Linked DNA regions of Macaca mulatta. Each later gene encodes a partner of the first gene's protein in a complex. Links are inferred from orthologs where the notes say so. Each region holds a gene or a part of one and is shown on either strand. Other genes may lie near its edges. The genes, in order: EXOSC9 and EXOSC1.

Evidence for each region.
Region 2: EXOSC9 (region 1) and EXOSC1 share a complex: the UniProt entries of both Homo sapiens proteins name them as parts of the RNA exosome core complex. The link is inferred for Macaca mulatta from reciprocal best matches to the Homo sapiens genes EXOSC9 and EXOSC1.

The regions. Positions count from the first base shown.
Region 1 is NC_133410.1:130,613,294-130,623,083, forward strand, and holds the start of EXOSC9 (exosome complex component RRP45), read left to right. Parts: upstream 1-5,122; 5' UTR 5,123-5,206; coding exon 5,207-5,272; intron 5,273-5,605; coding exon 5,606-5,700; intron 5,701-6,447; coding exon 6,448-6,567; intron 6,568-6,688; coding exon 6,689-6,791; intron 6,792-8,329; coding exon 8,330-8,467; intron 8,468-9,790. UniProt on the Homo sapiens protein: Non-catalytic component of the RNA exosome complex which has 3'->5' exoribonuclease activity and participates in a multitude of cellular RNA processing and degradation events.
Region 2 is NC_133414.1:109,485,557-109,494,736, forward strand, and holds the end of EXOSC1 (exosome complex component CSL4), read right to left. Parts: intron 6,659-9,180; coding exon 6,570-6,658; intron 4,422-6,569; coding exon 4,388-4,421; coding exon of another isoform or gene 4,381-4,387; intron 3,461-4,380; coding exon 3,410-3,460; coding exon of another isoform or gene 3,325-3,409; intron 2,978-3,324; coding exon 2,893-2,977; intron 2,477-2,892; coding exon of another isoform or gene 2,463-2,476; exon of another isoform or gene 2,262-2,462; coding exon 2,155-2,261; 3' UTR 1,918-2,154; downstream 1-1,917. UniProt on the Homo sapiens protein: Non-catalytic component of the RNA exosome complex which has 3'->5' exoribonuclease activity and participates in a multitude of cellular RNA processing and degradation events.

The DNA.
Region 1 (9,790 bases):
AAATGCATTTCCTTGCCTTTTCCAGCTTCTAACGACCCCCTACATCCCTTGACTTGTAGCCTCCACCTTCAAAGCTAGCAGCATAGCATCTTCTCTCTTCTTTCTTTTTTCTTTTTCTTTTTTTTAAATTGAGATGGAGTCTTGATCTGTGGCCCAGGCTGGAGTGCAGTGGCACGATCTCGGCTCACTGTAATCTCTGTCTCCCAGTTCAAGTAATTCTCCTGCCTCAGCCTCCCAAGTAGCTGGTATTACAGGTGTTCACCACTATACCCAGCTAATTTTTGTATTTTTAGTAGAGATGGGTTTTCACCATGTTGGCCAGGCTGGTCTCGAACTCCTGATCTCAGGTGATCTGCACATTTCAGCCTCCCAAAGTGCTGGGATTACAGGTGTGAGCCACCACAACTGGCCATCATCTCTCTTCTGACCTCTCCTTCTGTCATCCTCACTTCTCTCTCTTTCCTGCCTCCTTCTTGGGCTCACCCAGCTAATCCAGGAAAACCCCCCTATTTCAAAATCCATAATTTAATCATTGCTGCAAAAAAACTTCTGCCACATAAGGCAACATATTCACAGTTTCCAGAGATTGGAACATGGACATCTTTAAAAGAGGCCATTGTTTTGCCTACTATACAACCCTATAATAGTTATTTACATGACAATTAGTTTAATTCACTAAAGCAAAGTCTACTTATTTTATTTGTAGAAGACTAATTGACAAATAACTTTTCTAGATTGTATTTATTGCTTAGACATTAAACAGTACAATTTCCTACAGATTTCTATCAATGAGCATGAATCTTCTTTTCATAGATGAGAACAGATCCAAGGGCATCAGTGATGTGTCCAAGATAGAGCCATATGCATAGTCTGAGTAAAGTGAAATGAAAATGTCCCTTCCTTGACTTATCCTCTAATTTGTTGTATTTTTGATAAGCCAAAAACGGATAATTTTTTATTCCTCTAAATACGTTGGAAAAGCTTAATAATAATAATATGAGAGATCACATATAGCTTCCTGGACATAACAAATGATACGGTCAGAGTCAAATGAAGAGCTCTTTTCAATATCCAAGGAAGCCAGAGATGGACTGGATAGTCTAATGGACTTAAAAATCTGTAATTCCAATAAAACATATGCGAGGGAAATTTGCACTACATTTGACATATTAGTGTTCGGCTGTCAATACATAAAATCTTTTCAACATATTAACTGATAAGTGGTTTCCAGTTTGAATCTTGAAAAACAACAAAACAAATGTCTTTGTTAAATGTAGTTGAAAGTCAAAATTCCCTTAAATAAAAAAAATAGCTAAGTGTGGCAGAACAATAAAAAGAAAACAACACTTTTTTACTTTTTTCTGACAATAAAAGCTATTCACATGCCTTACAGAAGATTTGGAAAGTTCATAAAGAAAAAATATCAAAATGAAAAAAAAAAAACTTTTCCCAGACTCCTACCACTCAGAGATAACCATTCTTAATATTTCATCTTATTCCCTTCCAGGATAATTTTTGGGTACACCAAATTCTACACAGACAAATTGTACAGCAGACATATGGTACATAAAATGAGAAACTTTCATTTGTTCACTCATCCACCCAGTTTTTTCCTTTTTTTTTTTTTTTTTGAGATGGAGTCTCACTCTGTCACCCAGGTTGCAGTGCAGTGGCACAATCTCGACTCACTGCAACCTCTGGCTCCCAGGTTCAAGTGATTCTCTAGCCTCAGCCTCCTGAGTAGCTGGGATTACAGGTGTGTGCCACCGTGCCCGGCTAATTTTTGTATTTTTAGTAGAGACAGGGTTTCACCATGTTGGTCAGGCTGGTCTCAAACTCTTGAACTCATATGATCTGCCTGCCTTGGCCTCCCAAAGTACTGAGATTATAGGCATGGCCACGGTGCCCAGGCCTTTTTTTTTTTTTTGAGATGGATTCTTGCTCTATTGTTCAGGATGGAGTGCAGTAGTGTAATCTCAGTTCACTGCAACCTCCACCTTTTGGGTTCAAGTGATTCTCCAGCCTCAGCCTCCTGAGTAGCTGGGATAGGTGTGTGCCACCATGCCCAGCTAATTTTTGTAATTTTAGTGGAGACGGGGGTTTCACCATGTTGGCCAGGCTGGTCTCAAATTCCTGACCTCAAGTGATCTGGCCGCTTTGGCCTCCCAGCGTGCTAAGATTACAGGCGTGAGGCACTGCACCTGGCCTCCACCCATTAATTCTTTCACCAGATATGCTATAATAGGCCATTCATCCTTTTATTCACAAGGTACACTACCAGTCTCAGTGGGTGCTACAAAGGTTGAGAAGACATGGACTTTATATTCTAGTAGAAATGTATTAGAATTCCTTTGGACACACTTTTACAAAGACCAACTCAAATGTATTGGCTCACTAGAATCGCATGGGGTCAGGAAAGTGCATTTCTCCAAGAAATAAAAGGATGCTGGTCAGACAAAGCAACTGATGTTCAATAAAGAGAATGCATACTCAAATAGTTTGTTGAGAACTAGGTTATTTTTAGACAGATCATCCAGATTAACATGCTGATTCAAATTGATTCTTCTTTTAAGAACAGAAAGTAAGGCCAAGTGCGGTGGCTCACGCCTCTAATCCCTGCACTTTGGGAGGCCAAGGTGGGCAAATCACCTGAAGTCAGGAGTTTGAAACCAGCCTGACCAACACGGTGAAACCCCGTCTCTACTAAAAATACAAAAATTAGCCAGGTGTGGTGGCGCATGCCTACAGTCCCAGCTACCCGGGAGGCTGAGGCAGAAGAATTTCTTTAACCTGGGAGGTGGAGGTTGCAGTGAGCCAAGATCATGCCGCTACACTCCAGCCTGGGTGACAGAGTGAGACTGTCTGGAAAAAAAAAAAAAAAAATAGAATGTATCACATTATCTGAACTTCTTCTTAATCTTCCAAACCTATTTTTCCCTGAAATCATGAAACAAATTTTCCTTTGGCATTCAAAAATTTCTTATAAACACAAGGTTGTAAAGTAGATATATTTTATGATGGTATGTAGTAGTAAGTGGAGATGGGTCATACACGTTTGGATTAACTCAAAAATAAAAAGACAAAAGCAGGAGTGTTAAAATTAGAATATAAAAGTGAAAGTAGAAAAGAACAGTGGAAATCCAACAAAAGTGGAAGGAAAGCAAAGTAATCAAGCAGCAATCTCAGAAAAGCAATCTGTCATACTGAGTTTGGGCAGTTGCATGGGAAGCCTTTGCCAAGCCAACAAGGAAGGAGGAAACTAACATTTGAATAGCTATCATGTCCAAAATGTTTCATTAGATACTTTCATTCAGACCACTTAACACAGAGTAATTGTTACTTCCAATCTGAAGATACAGAACTCCCAAATAAGAAAGATTATTTAGCTCACTCCAAGTCCATTTGAGCTGAAGTTTATCTGAAGCCAAAGTCCATTCTCTTTCCATTACCAAGCTGCCTTGCAGGAAGTAACACGCTATTTCAACAAAGGCCTATTTCATTGCTGAAGGGAAAAATTACCAAATGGCCACTGAAAGAACCCAAGGATTTAAATGAAGAACTTATCTACCAGCAGTTCTGGTGTGAAACTGTATAATAAAAATGAACTTATGTTGTTAAAGAACTTAAGTGGTTAGTACCCTGTAATCCCCTTGCCGATTTTGAAAATTAATCATTTCTGTCCACTTTCCTCCTTCTTCACAATTTCTGTCTCCAGACCATGTGGAGCTCATCCCATTTCAGTTTTTGCATATGTTACTCTTTCTGCTTGAAACACTTTTCCTCTCCAGATGGCATCAAGGGTGCTCCTGCTCAACACCAAAGATTTACTTTACTTAAATGTCAGCTCTACAAAGTCACCTGTTCCTGCAACTACCCCTATTAAGATAGCATTCCTATTCTCAGAGAGCACTTACCATTGTGTGAAATTGTTCTATTTGTTTAGGGTTTTTTTGTCTTTCCAAAAAGAATGTAAATTCCTTGAGAGAAAGGATCTTGTCTACCCTGTTTCTCCAGCACTTAAATTATTCTTGGACAGAGTAGGCCCTCTTCAAGTATTTATTGAGTACATGGATTGCAAGTGGTACAAAGTGAGACTAAAATGTATCACTGGTAGAAATAACGTGTGAGAAGCTACCAAAGAAGCCAAAGAGAGACTGCGTAGGAGTTACAGTGCCTACCACCTCTAAAGCAAAAGGAAACAAAATAATAATATGCAAACACTTAAATAGTGCTTACTCCATGCCAGGCACCGTTCTAAACATTTTATGTATCTATTCACTCATTTTATTCCTCATAATAAATAGGTTTCTCACTCCCCGCCGCCCTCTTTTTTTTTTTTTTTTTTTGCAGGTGAGTAATGTGAAGCACACAGGTTAACTTGCCCAGGGTTATAGTAGTTAACGACAGACTTAAAATTTGAACCCTGGCAGTGAACACTTTTTAAAAGTACTATTTGATACTGCCTCTCCAAAAAAGCTGATTGGTTGGCAGCATGGCCCAGCTAAGGTTTCTCTGTGACCATAAAAATAAGTCTATCGACTTAAAATAACTGGAGAGGGGATGAGAAATAAACGGTACATTTAGTTTCAGCCCACAGAAGTAGTAACATCATTGGTTATTACGTGCGAAAGTTCTCCATTCTCATCAACTTCTCAGATCCCACAAAATTTCACCTTTGGCCACAAAAACATCCCATTTCACCATCTTAACTTTCTCCCGCAACCCTTATGCCGCCTCATTCCAGTGTTTGTTCATTTAATATGCTCCAAATCCTGCATCTGCGGCTTTCTAGGGGCCAATGTCAACTCATCTGTGAAATTGCAGTAGTATCTCTCTAGTCTCCACCCCGCAAGAGGACTGAGCGAACGGTGAAGTGTGAGAGCGGTCTACTGATATTAATTTCTACCACTCTGATGGTTATTTTGAGTATCCTTTTCTCCTCCGCATTTTATGAGAAAAGAAACGCAATTTCACGTTCAGAAACGCCCTCCCTAAGCCGCACTGGCTTCTTGCTGACCGCTGGCCCGCCCCAATCACGCTTTGAGTCTGCGCAGTAGCGACTGCCCAAGCCCTTGCCTATTTCCTGCCGCCGCGTTTTGATGACGAAATTTTCCTGCGCCTCGGGACCGGCAGCGGCGCGTAAGGAAAAGTCAGTTTCCGTTTTTCCCGCGGATTCTGGTGCCTGTGGGGCCGGTGACCCAATACCATGAAGGAAACGCCACTCTCAAACTGCGAACGCCGCTTCCTACTCCGTGCCATCGAAGAAAAGAAGGTATGGTTTGGTCCCCGCAGAATTGCGCGCTGCATGGGCGCCCGGGTCTCAAGGTGTGGACTCATACCTGGTCCGCCTGGGCCGGGGGAGCCATTAGGGGAACGACCGGCACGTTCACCCCATTCCCCAGGCTTTATTTTTTTTCGACAGGTTCTTTTCGAGTCTCTAGTCACCCCAGCAGTTGTCCGTGCTGTAGTTTCCACTTTCTTGTATGGGCGGGGTGGTTAGGATTCCACTTTCCCCCAAGTGCTTAGCCCAGGGCCAGACAAAAAGTAGTTGCTTAAGACATACTTGTTGAAGGAATAAATGAATGAATGAATTTGTGCTTAACAGCGGCTGGATGGCAGACAAACCTATGATTATAGGAACATCAGGATCTCATTTGGAACAGATTACGGATGCTGCATTGTGGAACTTGGCAAAACAAGGTAACAGGATTTAAATGAGATAACACATTGAAAAGGGAGAAGTTTGAAAAAAGACCTTATTGACTCGGTTGTTTATAAAGCAGCTAAGAAGTCTGCACAGTATTCTTTGTTTAGCTGACAAAAATAAGTATTTTTTATGCAAGATTTTTTGATTTTGTGGTCACACTTGAACTTTTTAATCATAAACGTATTTTCTGTCACCTATCACATAGTTCTGACTTCTGTAAATCGTGTAGACAACCAGTAGTGCTCATATCGAATTTGTTTCTCACACTAATACAGAGATCTTGAGCATCTTGTCATTAAGTGTACATCCTGATTTCCTGTTTTTCGAGTGACATGAAAGTTAGGTTTTCAAATATTCATTTGAAAGTTGTAAGGCTATTTGGTCAGTTAATGGTGGTGAACTATGGCATGTGAAAACACTTAAATATCAAGTTTTCATGCCATCTTGTATCAATAAATACTTGCTTTAGAGGTAAAGGTCATTGATTTTTTAGAACAATCTGTGGAATAGTAAACATTGTAATAAGAAGAGAGGTGTTTTTTCTGTCGTGTTTTTAGTTGCACCAATTTATGTTTTATTTCTGTGTATATTATACTTTACATATATTTTTTACTTTCTATGATTTATCTGGCTTACTATGATATTACTCACATTAAGATTGAAACTTGTGATCTGTTTCAGATTTTTTTTTTTTGGAAGGAGAGTCTATTTAGTTAATACTTTGTACTTTATCTTTGCAGAGTTCTTGGACAGGTTTCCTGTGAACTTGTGTCTCCAAAACTCAATAGGGCAACAGAAGGTATTCTTTTTTTTAACCTTGAACTCTCTCAGATGGCTGCTCCAGCTTTCGAACCTGGCAGGTATTTAAATCTTTTTCTTAAGCTGCTTTAGTCATAGGAGAACCTAACAGCAATGAGCTTTTGTTTTAATACCAGGTGTTATATTTCATGACAGTAGCCCATTCCTATTTTCTTATTATAGGCAGTCAGATCTCTTGGTGAAGTTGAATCGACTCTTGGAAAGATGTCTAAGAAATTCGAAGTGTATAGACACTGAATCTCTCTGTGTTGTTGCTGGTGAAAAGGTGGGGAATATGCCCATAATTCTTAATCTTAGGATGAATACTGTTGATTCATGGATCCCGGTGTCTGAGCTTTTATTCTCAGAACTTTAGTCAACTCAAGTTTTGTACTGATTCACTTCACTTCAGATGTTCTTGAGTGATACCCTTAGAACTTTGTGCCACCTCTATCTCTCTGAAGGGATAAAAAGCATTATTCTAAAAGGGTGAAAATAGCAACTTAGATTTTTGTGTAAAAATATTTTATTCAAAGAATTTGTGGCTTTTTCATATAATCTCATTTTCTTATCTGCGTTCATAGAAGCAGGTGTTCATAGAAGCAGGTAGTTTTTCATGCAGAACTCAAGAACAGAAGAAATCCTTCATTTGGATAGGTTTATCGAGTTACACAGGGCCACACCATGTCAGTGGCAGGGATAATTTTGAAAATCTTAGTCCCAATAAATTGTGCTGCATTAGGATATTAGACTTTTATTCTTTTTTTTTTTTTGAGACAGAGTCTCACTCTGTTGCCCAGACTGGAGTGCAGTGGTATAATCTCAGCTCACTGCATCCTCTGCCTCCCCTGTTCAAGCAATTCTCCCACTCAGCTTTCTGAGCAGCTGGAACTACAGGCATCTGCCACCACACCCGGCTAATTTTTGTATTTTTAGTAGAGACAGAGTTTCACCATCAGACTGGTCTTGAACTCCAGACCTCAAGTGATCCACCCACCTTGGCCTCCCAAAGTGCTGGGATTATAGGCGTGAGCTACTGTGCCTGGCCAGAATTTGATTCTTGATTAGGGTATTTTGACAAGCATTTTTATTCCAGAGAAGTCATTTAGCTTTCCATATTCCATACCTAAGTATAATACTTCCTATTTGCATTACTTGTAAAGTTATTAAAAATATCACAAAACCTAAAAGGTTAACGTTTTTTAATTTTTGAAAATATTCATTATTTTCTGTTAGGGACAGTGACACTTTCATCCAGGCAGGAGTGCAGTGGTGTTATTATAGCTCACTGTAACCTTAAACTCCTGGGCTCAAGGGATCCTCTCTCCTTAGCCTCCCGAATAGCTAGGACTACAGGCGCATGCCACTCCACCCAGCTAACTAAAAAACTTTTTTTTTTTTCGTAGAGATAGGGTCTTGCTGTGTTGCCCAGGCTGGTCTCGAACTCCTAGGCTCAAGCAATTCTCCCATCTTCGCCTCCCAAAGTGCTGGGATTACAGGTGAATGCCACTGTGCCTGACCTAGAGTTTGTGGTTTTTAACAGACATGATAAAAATGTAATTAGATTTGAGGTTAGGAAAATCTTAGTATTAAACATTAGAGTAGTTCTGTCTATTTAAAGTATGTGTTCTACGATTAAACGACTCACATAGTATTTCAGATGTTTGGCTTAAATTTTCTAAAATACATTTTTTGTTAACAAACTAGAAGGAGTAACTGCATGTTTTAACAGCAAGAAAAATTACTTTGTGCACAATGTTACTTTTCTTGATAAATAGCCACTGGTTGTAATCAGGATTTATTTTATTTTAAATTCACTATCAGGTTTGGCAAATACGTGTAGACCTACATTTATTAAATCATGATGGAAATATTATTGATGCTGCCAGCATTGCTGCAATTGTGGCTTTATGTCACTTCCGAAGACCTGATGTCTCTGTCCAAGGAGATGAAGTAACACTGGTAAGCTCTTATGTGAACCAGGATCCTTGATACGAATGAATGAGGAGGGTCCTAAATGTGCAGGAAACTTGTTTTTAGTGAAGTTATGTTGTAGATGGCAATTGGGTAGGTTCTAAAAATTTGTTCATAAGACTAAAACTGCATATGGTCAAAATTGCCCTTGAAATCTCTTAACAGTTCCTCTATTGAAACATTTGTCAGTAAGAACATACCGTAGCATGGTTTTCCAGAATAGAATTAGATGACTATTTTGGATTGAGCATTAGATGAAGTGTTTGACTTATGTTTAAGGGCCATATGTGTGAAAAATAAATGAATCTCAGCACAGTGAGATGCTTACCCTGCAAGAGGTATGCAATAGCTGAAAAGCACTGAGGAATCAGCAGATTCATATTTGTCTCCAGGATGTTTGTTCATTAGGCAAAGAGCTGATGAAAGTCCATCAGAAATACCCGGAGGGCTTGTTAAAACATATTGCTAGACTCTACTCCCAAAGTGAAACAGGGCTACGACTTAAGAATTTGTACTTTTAACTTTGAGTTCTTAGGTAATACTGATGTTGCTGGTCCAGGGAGCACATTTTGAAAACCATTGACCTACATTTTCTTTATCTTTTGTTCTGAGTATGTCAGTTTTAATTTATATAAATTACTTGCTAGAATAATGAAAGTGCACCGTAGTTGTAGTTTGAATCCTGAAGTTGCAAAAGGACACATCAGATGCCCAGATTTTCTAAACAATGATTCATAATTTTGCTTTTGGGCAGTAGACTGGAGCAGAACCGTTAAAAAGTGAGAAGTAGGGACAAAGGTTTATTAACAGTAGAGGTAATATTCTTTTAGAGGAGGGAGTTTATATAAGGAAGTGAAAAAAAGTAGAAAGCGATTACTACACTTGAAAGATCAATTAAAGAATACTGTGGTGTTCTTGCTAGTGGGAATGTAAAATGGTACAGCCATGTTGGAAAAGTTTGGCAGCTTTCTTAAGTTTTAAGTGTAGACAACATTCTATATTCAGAAAAATAACATTAGAAGGAAATACTCTTTTTTTTTTTTTTTTTGAGACAGGGTCTCACTCTGTTGTCCAGGCTGGGGTGCAGTGGCATGATCTCGGCTCACTGTACCCTCTGCCTCTTGAACTTAAGCAATCCTCCCTCCTCAGTCTCTTGAGTAGCGGGGACTACAGGTGTGTGCCACCCGCTTGACTAATTTTTGTGTTTTTTGTAGAGATATGGTTTCACCAAATTGCCCAGGCTGGTCTTGAACTCCTGGGCTCAAGTGATTCTCCCACCTCGGCCTCCCAAAGTGTTGGGATTACAGGCAT
Region 2 (9,180 bases), on another chromosome or scaffold:
TGAGGGATATTACATACGTTAGCTCTAATCTTAACCCACGAAAGGGCTGGTAACTCCTGTTTAAGGAAGAGGAAACAGGCCCAAAGAAACATGTAAAAAGCACCAAATGTCACACCACTTGGTACTGGGGCTGGGATGGATATTACTAGTTCAAGCAAATCAAGGTTCTAAGATTTAAATACTTTCAAGCATCTTGCTTTTCAATTTTAGATTTTCATTTGACCTACACAATAACCTTGAGTAATTTCAGTCTCCAAGAGGCTGGTGGAATGTTACTTTCCTAACCTGTGCAGAATCCTAGACCAGAAGTTGGTAATTTTGGCCAGCACGGCGGCACACACCTGTAATCCCAGCACTTTGGGAGGCTGAGGATCACTTGAGGCCAGGAGTTTGAGACTGGCCTGGGCAACATAGCAAGACCTGGTCTCTACAAAAAAAATTAGCCAGGCATGGTGGTATGTGCCTGTAGTCCCAGCTACCCAGGGGACTGATGTGGGGGAATTACGTGAGTCCAGGAGTTTGAGGCTGCAGTAAGCTATGACTGCACCACTGCGCTTCATCCTGGGTGACATTCTGAGGCCCTGTCTCTTTAAAAATTGCATGTACAACAAACAAAAACACCAAGGCCGGGCATGGTGGCTGATGCCTATAAGCCCAGCATTTTGGGAGGCCAAGGCAGGTGGATCACCTGAGGTCAGGAGTTCAAGACCAGTCTGGCCAACATGGTGAAACCTCATCTCTACCAAAAGTTAGCTGGGAATGGTGGTGCATGCCTGTACTCCCAGCTACCGGGAAAGCAGAAGCTGCAGTGAGTTGAGATCGCGCCACTGCACTCCAGCCTAGGTAACAGCAAGACTCTGTCTCAAAAACAAACAAACAACAAAACCTGGATGTGGATCTACAATGATCTTAATCTCGGTAAAATTTTCAATTAAAGAAACCCTAACGTTCAAGCTTAGGAAGCAGAGGATAGAAACTAAGGTGGGCTGATTCTAAAGCTCACATTATGCACTGTCACTAATACTGAAGAGATGGGCTTCTTGAGTAACATCTCAAGAAGTGACATCTCAAGACTCGTATTTTGTCGGCAACCTCTCCATGCTTAACTTTCATCCCTTCCTCATCCCCAAACTTATGCCTTAATTTCTGCTTCTGTACTTAGCCTGGGCTTGTCTCTCTGCCTTGAATATATTCACTTACTTATGTTCTTTAATTTATTTTTATCTCATGTCACTAATCCTTTCCTGGCCACCTCATATGACAGTACTCTGTCCCACTTTTCAATTCAGATTAAACATTTCCTGGAGTACCCACTATATCAGTAATGTGTATCAAATACTTTTAGACATGTTACTTATTTTTTTTGAGACAAGAGTCTCGCTCTGTTGTCCGGGCTGGAGTATAGTGGCACAATCTCGGCTCACTACAACTTCCACGTCCAGGGTTCAAGTGATCTTCCTGCCTCAGCTTCCCGAGTAGTTGGGATTACAGGCACGTGCCACCACGCCCGGCTAATTTTTGTATTTTTAGTAAAGATGGGGTTTTACCACGTTGGCCGGGCTGGTCTCGAACTCCTGACTTCAACCTAACTCGGCCTCCCAAAGTGTTGGGATTTACAAGCATGAGCCACCACGTCCGCCTCACATGCTATCTGTATCACATGTGTCCTCAAATTTTCATTAGACCATAATGTACCTGAATGAAGGGGATGTATGTAAAGCACTTGACTCAGTGCCTAGCACAGTGAGTACTCAATAAGCAGAAGTACTGAAATGTCCTGACACCATTTAGACGTCTTTCTCTGCTTAAGACAACTATAACATCCTTTTAGTAAAAAAGTTTTATCATAACAAAAAATAGGTATTTATAAGGACTGTCAGGGGGGATAGGCTATTTCCAATATCACAGTTTTGTTAGGCTATTTCCAATATCACAGTTTTGTTTGTTGGTGCCTTGAAAAGATAAGTTTTATTACTCAAGAGAATGAAATCCACTGATAGGTTCACAGAAACGTGTTCCATCTATAGCCTAAGTTTCTGGCAGATTTTTCTGGAAGAGGCTGTTGGCCGACGCCAGGTGTTTGAATAGACAGCAGCATCTTGGTGTTATACTCAGGAACAGCTTACCCCCTTCCATGGGGTAAAAAGTGGCTTCTTAGGTCTGCAAGAATTCAGGTTGTACTCGGGCTACTTTCCGGAATTCTTTAGTGTGGGTCTTAGGGCACTGCATCTCACACCAGCTGATGGGAACCATCTGGATACCTGGAAGGGAAAAACTGGTGGAGCCCAGATCCCAAAGATTTGCCTGGGACTCCTCTTTTATGCTGGGTATGAAACTGAAGTGCCACCAAGCTTCCTACTGAACCTCAACTCACAAAGAAAAAACTTTGTTCTACTGACTTATGGAGTCCCGTTTCCTTGGATTTATATAAGGAGAATCAGGCTGGGTGTGGTGGCTCACACCTACAATCTCAGCACTTTGGGAGGCCAAGGCGGGCAGATCATTTGAGGCCAGGAGTTTGAGACCAGTCTGGCCAACATGGCGAAACCCCGTCTCTACTAAAAATACAAAAATTAGCTAGGTGTGGTGGCGTGTATCTGTAATCCCAGTTACTTGGGTGATGAGAATTGCCTGAACCCGGGAGGTGAAGGCTGTGGTGAGTGGAGATCGCACCACTGCACTCCAGCCTCCTCGACACAGTGAGACCCAGTCTCAAACCACCACCACCACCACCGGCACCAAGCAAAGAAGAAAAAAAAAATCATTCTAATCTCAGAAGGAAATATCTACAGCCATACTGCTTCCCAGATAAGGGAAACCAGGAAAAACAATGGATTAATCCCAAACCATAGCTCCAGGGAAAGTAAGGATGTGGAAGCAAGGCCATCTCACCTGACTCACTGTGGGCTACCACTACTCCCAGCTCGTTCTCGGCAGTGGTTAGCAGGTAGTTGGACTGTGCATCACCTAGGGAGATCTAGTCACATAACACTGAAGGAAAATGAGGAGTTAGAAGTCTTCCCCCAACCTTAGCCAGCTGAGTTGTTTTTCTACTTTCTCTGTTTTGTTTTTTTGAGACGGAGTCTTGCTCTGTTACCCAGGCTGGAGAGCAGTGGCGCGATCTCAGCTCACAGCAACCTGTGCCTCCAGCGTTCCAGCGGTTCTCCTGCCTCAGTTTCCCGAGTAGCTGAGATTACAGCCATGCGCCACCACGTCCAGCTAATTTTTGTATTTTCAGTAGAGACAGGGTTTCACCATGTTGGGCCAGGCTGGTCTCGAACTCCTGACCTCAGGTGATCCACCCGCCTTGGCCTCCCAAAGTGCTGGGATTACAGGCATGAGCCACCACGCCCAGCCTCCATCTCTTCTTTTGACAAAAACCCAGAAGTCTGCTGGGAATAAAGGATACCACTTTGGCCAAGACAATGTCACCTGGGCGGAAACTCTTATAAATTTCAACCTGTAAAGAAAGAACAGGAATGGTAAGTGAAAGTTCTAGACAGGGTCTATATGAAACTGTGAACCCTTCTGGTAAAGCCAGTCTACTTTCTAATCCTGGAGGGTAGAAATCATCATTACTCATGTCAAGTCAACAACTTTTAATTGCTTCTATAGTATTATCATACAAATGAAAAGTTGTTTTTTTTTTTTTTTTTTTTTTTTTTGAGATGGAGTCTCGCTCTGTTGCCCAGGCTGGAGTGCAGTGGTACGATCTTGGCTCACTGCAACCTCCACCTCCCAGGTTCAAGCGATTCTCCTGCCTTAGCCTCCTGAGTAGCTGGGATTACAGGCGCGCAGCATGACGCTGGCTAGTTTTTGTATTTTTAGTAGAGATGGGGTTTCACCATGTTGGTCAGACTGGTCTTGAACTCCTGAGCTCGTGATCTGCCTGCCTTGGCCTTCCAAAAAGCTGGGATTACAGGTGTGCGCCACCGCACCCAGCCCTTTTTTGTTAAGGGTGGAATCCCACTGTGTCACCCAGGCTGGAGTGCAGTGATGCAATGGTAGCTCACTGCAGCCTTGGACTGCTGGACCAAGGGATCCTCCTGCCTCAGCCTCCCAAGTAGCTAGGACTACAGGTTTGTGCCACCACATAACCTCAAACTCCTGGGCTCAAGCAATCCTCCAGCCACATCCTCTCAAGCAGCTATGACTACAAGCATGAGCCACCATGCCCGCTAATTTTTAATTTTTAAAATTTTTGTAGAGACAGGGTCTCACTGTGTTGCCAGGGCTGGTCTTGAAGTCCTGGCCTCAAGTGATCCTCCCGCCTCAGCCTCCCAAAGTACTGGGATTACAGGTGTGTGCAACCATGCCTGGTCTGAGATAATACTTTTAAGGGATTGAGATTTGTAAAGCCGTTAAAAAAAGAGAACCAACCAACAACCTTGTCTTTTTCAGTTGCTCGGACATCTTCCTTGCTATAAAAAAAGAATTAACAGAAAGATTAATTATCTGTGAGAAAGAATTTTTTTTTTTTTTTTTTTTTTTAAAGACAGAGTCTCCCTCTGTCACCCAGGCTGGAGTACAGTGGCACGATCTCGGCTCACTGCAACCTCCGCCTCCTGGCTTCAGGCATTTTTCATGCCTCAGCCTCTCAAGCAGCTGGAATTACAGGCATGTGCTGCCACGCCCGGCTAGTTTTTGTATTTTTAGTGGAGATGGGGTTTCACCACATTGGCCAGGCTGGTCTTGAACTCCTGGCCTCAGGTGATCCACCCGCCTCAGCTTCCCAAAGTGCTGGGATTACAGGCATGAGTCACCTTGCCCAGCCTGTGAGAAAGAATTATTCTGTAGATTCCTAGTAAATAAAGAGCTACAAGAACAGACAGAACAAGTCTTAATTGGGACCCAGCTGCTACTCAGAGGAGCAGGGTGGAGAAGCATCCTCAGACCACACGGAGCAGCAGTATCAATACCTGATTAGATAAAGGCAGATCAGATTTGGCAAGAAACGATAAGGAGTTTTGTTGCCTCAGGGCTTGAACAGAAGCACTATAGCAAGGGTCCCCAACTTCTGGTGGCCTGTTAGGAACCGGGCTGCACAGAAGGAAGTGAGTGGCAAGCAAGCTTCATCTGTATTTACAGCTGCTCCCCAATCACACACATTACTGCCTGAGCTCCGCCCCCTGTCAGATCAAAGTGGGCATTAGATTCTCATAGAAGTATGAACCCTATTGTGAACTGTGCACATGAGGGAGCTAGGTTGCCCACTCATTATGAGAATCTAATGCTTGACGATCTGTCACTGTCTCCCATCACCCCCAGATGGGACCATCGAATTGCAGGGAAAGAAACTCAGGGTTCCCGCTGATTCTACATTATGGTGAGCTGTGTAATTATTTCATTATATATTACAGTGTAATAATAATAGAAATAAAGTACAGCATAAATGTAATGCACTTGAATCATTCTGCAACCACTCCCACCACAGTCTGTGGAAAAACTGTCTTCCAAGAAACTGGTCCCTGGTGCCAAGAAGCTTGGAGATTGCTGCACTACAGAACCACATCAAATCCTGAGGCTGGAAAGGGCCTCAAAAGTTAGATTATCTGCCTGGCAAGAAATGTTTGTCCTTTCTCAAGGAAGCCACAGGAAATCACCGTCTCACTCACAAATCTTTTCAATGTTTTATAACCTCTGAGTTCAATCTATATTAAAATTTTTAAAAAGTGCTTCCTAGAATGCCTTCCACTTTGGTTTGAGTCATCCTGACACTGATAAACTTCAGCTTCACTCAATTCTTTTTGCTTTACTTTTCATTTATTTATTTGTTTTTTGAGACAGGGTCTCACTTTGTCACCCAGGCTGGAGTGCAGTGGTACAATCTCAGCTCACTGCAACCTCCGCCTCCTAGGCTCAAGTGATCTTCCCACTTTAGCTCCACAAGTAGCTGGGACAACAGGTATGCACCACCATGCCCAGCTAATTTTTTTTTTTTTTTTTTTTTAAGAGATGGAGTCTCGCTGTGTACCCTGTGCCGGAGTGCAGTGGCGTGATCTTGGCTCACTGCAACCTCTGCCTCCCGGGTTCAGCCTCCTGAGTAGCTGGGATTACAGGCGCACGCCACCATGTCCGGCTAGTTTTTGTATTTTTAGTAGAGACGTGGTTTCACCATATTGGCCAGGCTGGTCTCAAACTCCTGACTTTGTGATCTGCCCACCTTGGCCTCCCAAAGTGCTAGGATTACAGGTGTGAGCCACTGTGCCCGGCTAATTTTTGTATTTTTTACAGAGACGGTGTTTCACCATGTTGGCTAGGCTGGTCTCAAACTCCTGATCTCAAGAGATCCATCCGCTTCAGCTTCCCAAAGTGCTAGGATTACAGGCATGAACCACTGTGCCCAGCCTTTGCTTTACTTTTAAACCCTCTCTTGTTAATATTTTCCTTTTGTCCTAGCTCATCCACATATTTTTGGATACTACTAGGGGAGAATCAAAGCACAAAGAAGAAAGAAAAATGGGCAAGAGAAAAATAGGAATTGTAACTGTTGCTCAAAATTCTGGTGTCCTAGTCTATCCTAATCTTATTGCAGTTGCTAAGGCATACGTGACAAGGATACTTCTTACCGGATAGTTCCTCGAAAAGAGTTCTTAAGTGGCATGGACCCCACATATAGGATGTGTACTTTGGCAAAGCGTGAATTGATACTAGAGACCTGTGGAATAGAGAAAAGATCAGCATCAGAGTATAAGCAGTTGTCAGCTCAAGGAAGCAGCAACGAACTGGGGATTACTAGGACTTCAATGCAAGCAACCCTACTAAGTAGAGAATTTAAGACAAGTTAACTCCTACTTCTCTGCATAAGTGACACATGTAAAGGGGAATAAGAGCCACTCTGGCCACCTGATAGAGTTACCATGGGAAACAAAGATGGTATGGGTTTTTTTTTGAGACAGAGTTTCGCTCTTGGTGCCCAGGCTGGAGTGCAATGGCGCAATCTTGGCTCACCGCAACCTCTGCCTCCCAGGTTCAAAGAATTCTCCTGCCTCAGCCTCCTGAGGAGCTGGGATTAAAGGCATGCACCACCATGCCTGGCTAATTTTGTATTTTTAGTAGAGACAGGGTTTCTCCATGTTGGTCAGGCTGGTCTCAAACTCCTGACCTCAGGTGATCCGCCTGCCTCGGCCTCCCAAAGTGCCGGGATTATAGACGTCAGCCACCACACCCTGCAGTTTTTTTTTGTTTTTTTTTTTTTTGAGACAGAGTCTTGCTCTGTCACCCAGGCTGGAGTACAGTGGCACGATCTCGGCTCACTGCAAGCTCTGCCTCCCAAGTTCATGCCATTCTCCTGCCTCAGCCTCCCCAGCAGCTGGGACAACAGGCACATGCCGCCACGCCCGGCTAATTTTTTAGTGGAGATGAGGTTTCACCATGTTAGCCAGGATGGTCTCGATCTCCTGACCTTGTGATCCGCCTGCCTCGGCCTCCGAAAGTGGTGGGATTACAGGCGTGAGCCACCACTCCCAGCTTTTTTTTTTTTAGTCTTTTCACAACTTGCCCTTCAGAGAAGTATAGATTTTTTAAAGTATAGATGGCTAACATTGGAAAAAAAAAAAAAAAGGCTGGACACGGTGGCTCATGCCTGTAATCCCAGCACTTTGGGAGGCTGAGGTGGGCACATCACTTGAGGTCAGGAGTTCGGGACCAGCCTGGCCAACCTGGTAAAACCCCATCTGTACTAAAAATACAAAAATTAGCTAGGCGTGGCAGCATACGCCTATAACCCCAGCTACTCGGGAGGCAGAGGCAGTAGAATCACTTGAACCCAAGAGGCAGAGGCTGCAGTGAGCCAAGATCGTGCCACTGCACTCCAGCCTGGGTGACAGAGCAAGGCCCTGCCTCAAAAAAAAAAAAAAAAAATCTAAAAAGGAAAAAAATCAAGGAATGCCAGAAAATAAAAGTCTTTTGCTTCTCTGCAGAAAAAGGTCTCAGCTTCAGATGTTCAAAAATAGGCTTCCCAATCATCCTCTGGCATCCCTGTTTCCCAGACACAGGTAGAAACTCTGTATTCAGAGAATCAGCTCAGTGAAGGAACTACGCATGCCTGACCTTGGCTGCCTTATTATTCTAGAAATCTGTAGACCAGAACAGTCCAGTAAAACTTTATGTAGTGACAGAAAAGTCATGTGCTGACCAGTATAGCAACCACTAGCCACAAGTGGCTACTGAGTACTTGAAATGTGGCTAATGTGACTAAGGAAACCAATTTTATTTTATTTTATTTTATTATTTTTTTTTTTTTGAGAAGGAGTCTCGCTCTGTCGCCCAGGCTGGAGTGCAGTAGCCGGATCTCAGCTCACTGCAAGCTCCGCCTCCCAGGTTCCCGCCATTCTCCTGCCTCAGCCTCCTGAGTAGCTGGGACTACAGGCGCCGCCACTTCGCCCGGCTAATTTTTTTGTATTTTTTTAGTAGAGACGGGGTTTCACCGTGTTAGCCAGGATAGTCTCGATCTCCTGACCTCATGATCCGCCCGTCTCGGCCTCCCAAAGTGCTGGGATTACAGGCGTGAGCCACCGCGCCCAGCCCTTATTTTTGAGAGACAAGTCTTGTCGTTACCCAGGCTGCAGTGATCATGGCTCACTGCAGCCTCAACCCCCTGGGTTCAAGCGATCCTCCTGCCTCAGCCTACCAAGTAGTTGGGACCACAGGCATGTGCTACCATGCCTGGCTAATTTTTTATTTTTATTTATTTATTTATTTATTTATTTATTTATTTATTTAATTTTCAGAGTCTCACTCTGTTGTCCAGGCTGGAGTGCCGTGACGCGGACTCATTGAAACCTCGGCCTCCCGGGTTCAAGCAAATCTCCTGCCTCAGACTCCCGAGTAGCTGGGATTATAGGCATGTGCCACCACATTGAGCTAATTTTTGTATTTTTAGTAGAGATGGGGTTTCATCATGTTAGCCATGATTGGCCAGGCTGGTCTCGAACTCCTGACCTCAGGTGATCTGCCCACCTTGGCCTCCCAAAGTGCTGGGATTACAGGCGTGAGCCACAGTGCCCAGCAATTTTTGATTCTTTTTGTAGAGATGAGGTTTCACTATGTTTCCCAGGCTGGTCTTGAACTCTGGGTTGAAGCAATCCTCCTGCCTCGGCCTCTTTTTTTTTTTTTTCCTTTTTTTTTTTTTTTTTTTGAGACGGAGTCTTGCTCTGTGCCCCAGGCTGGAGTGCAGTG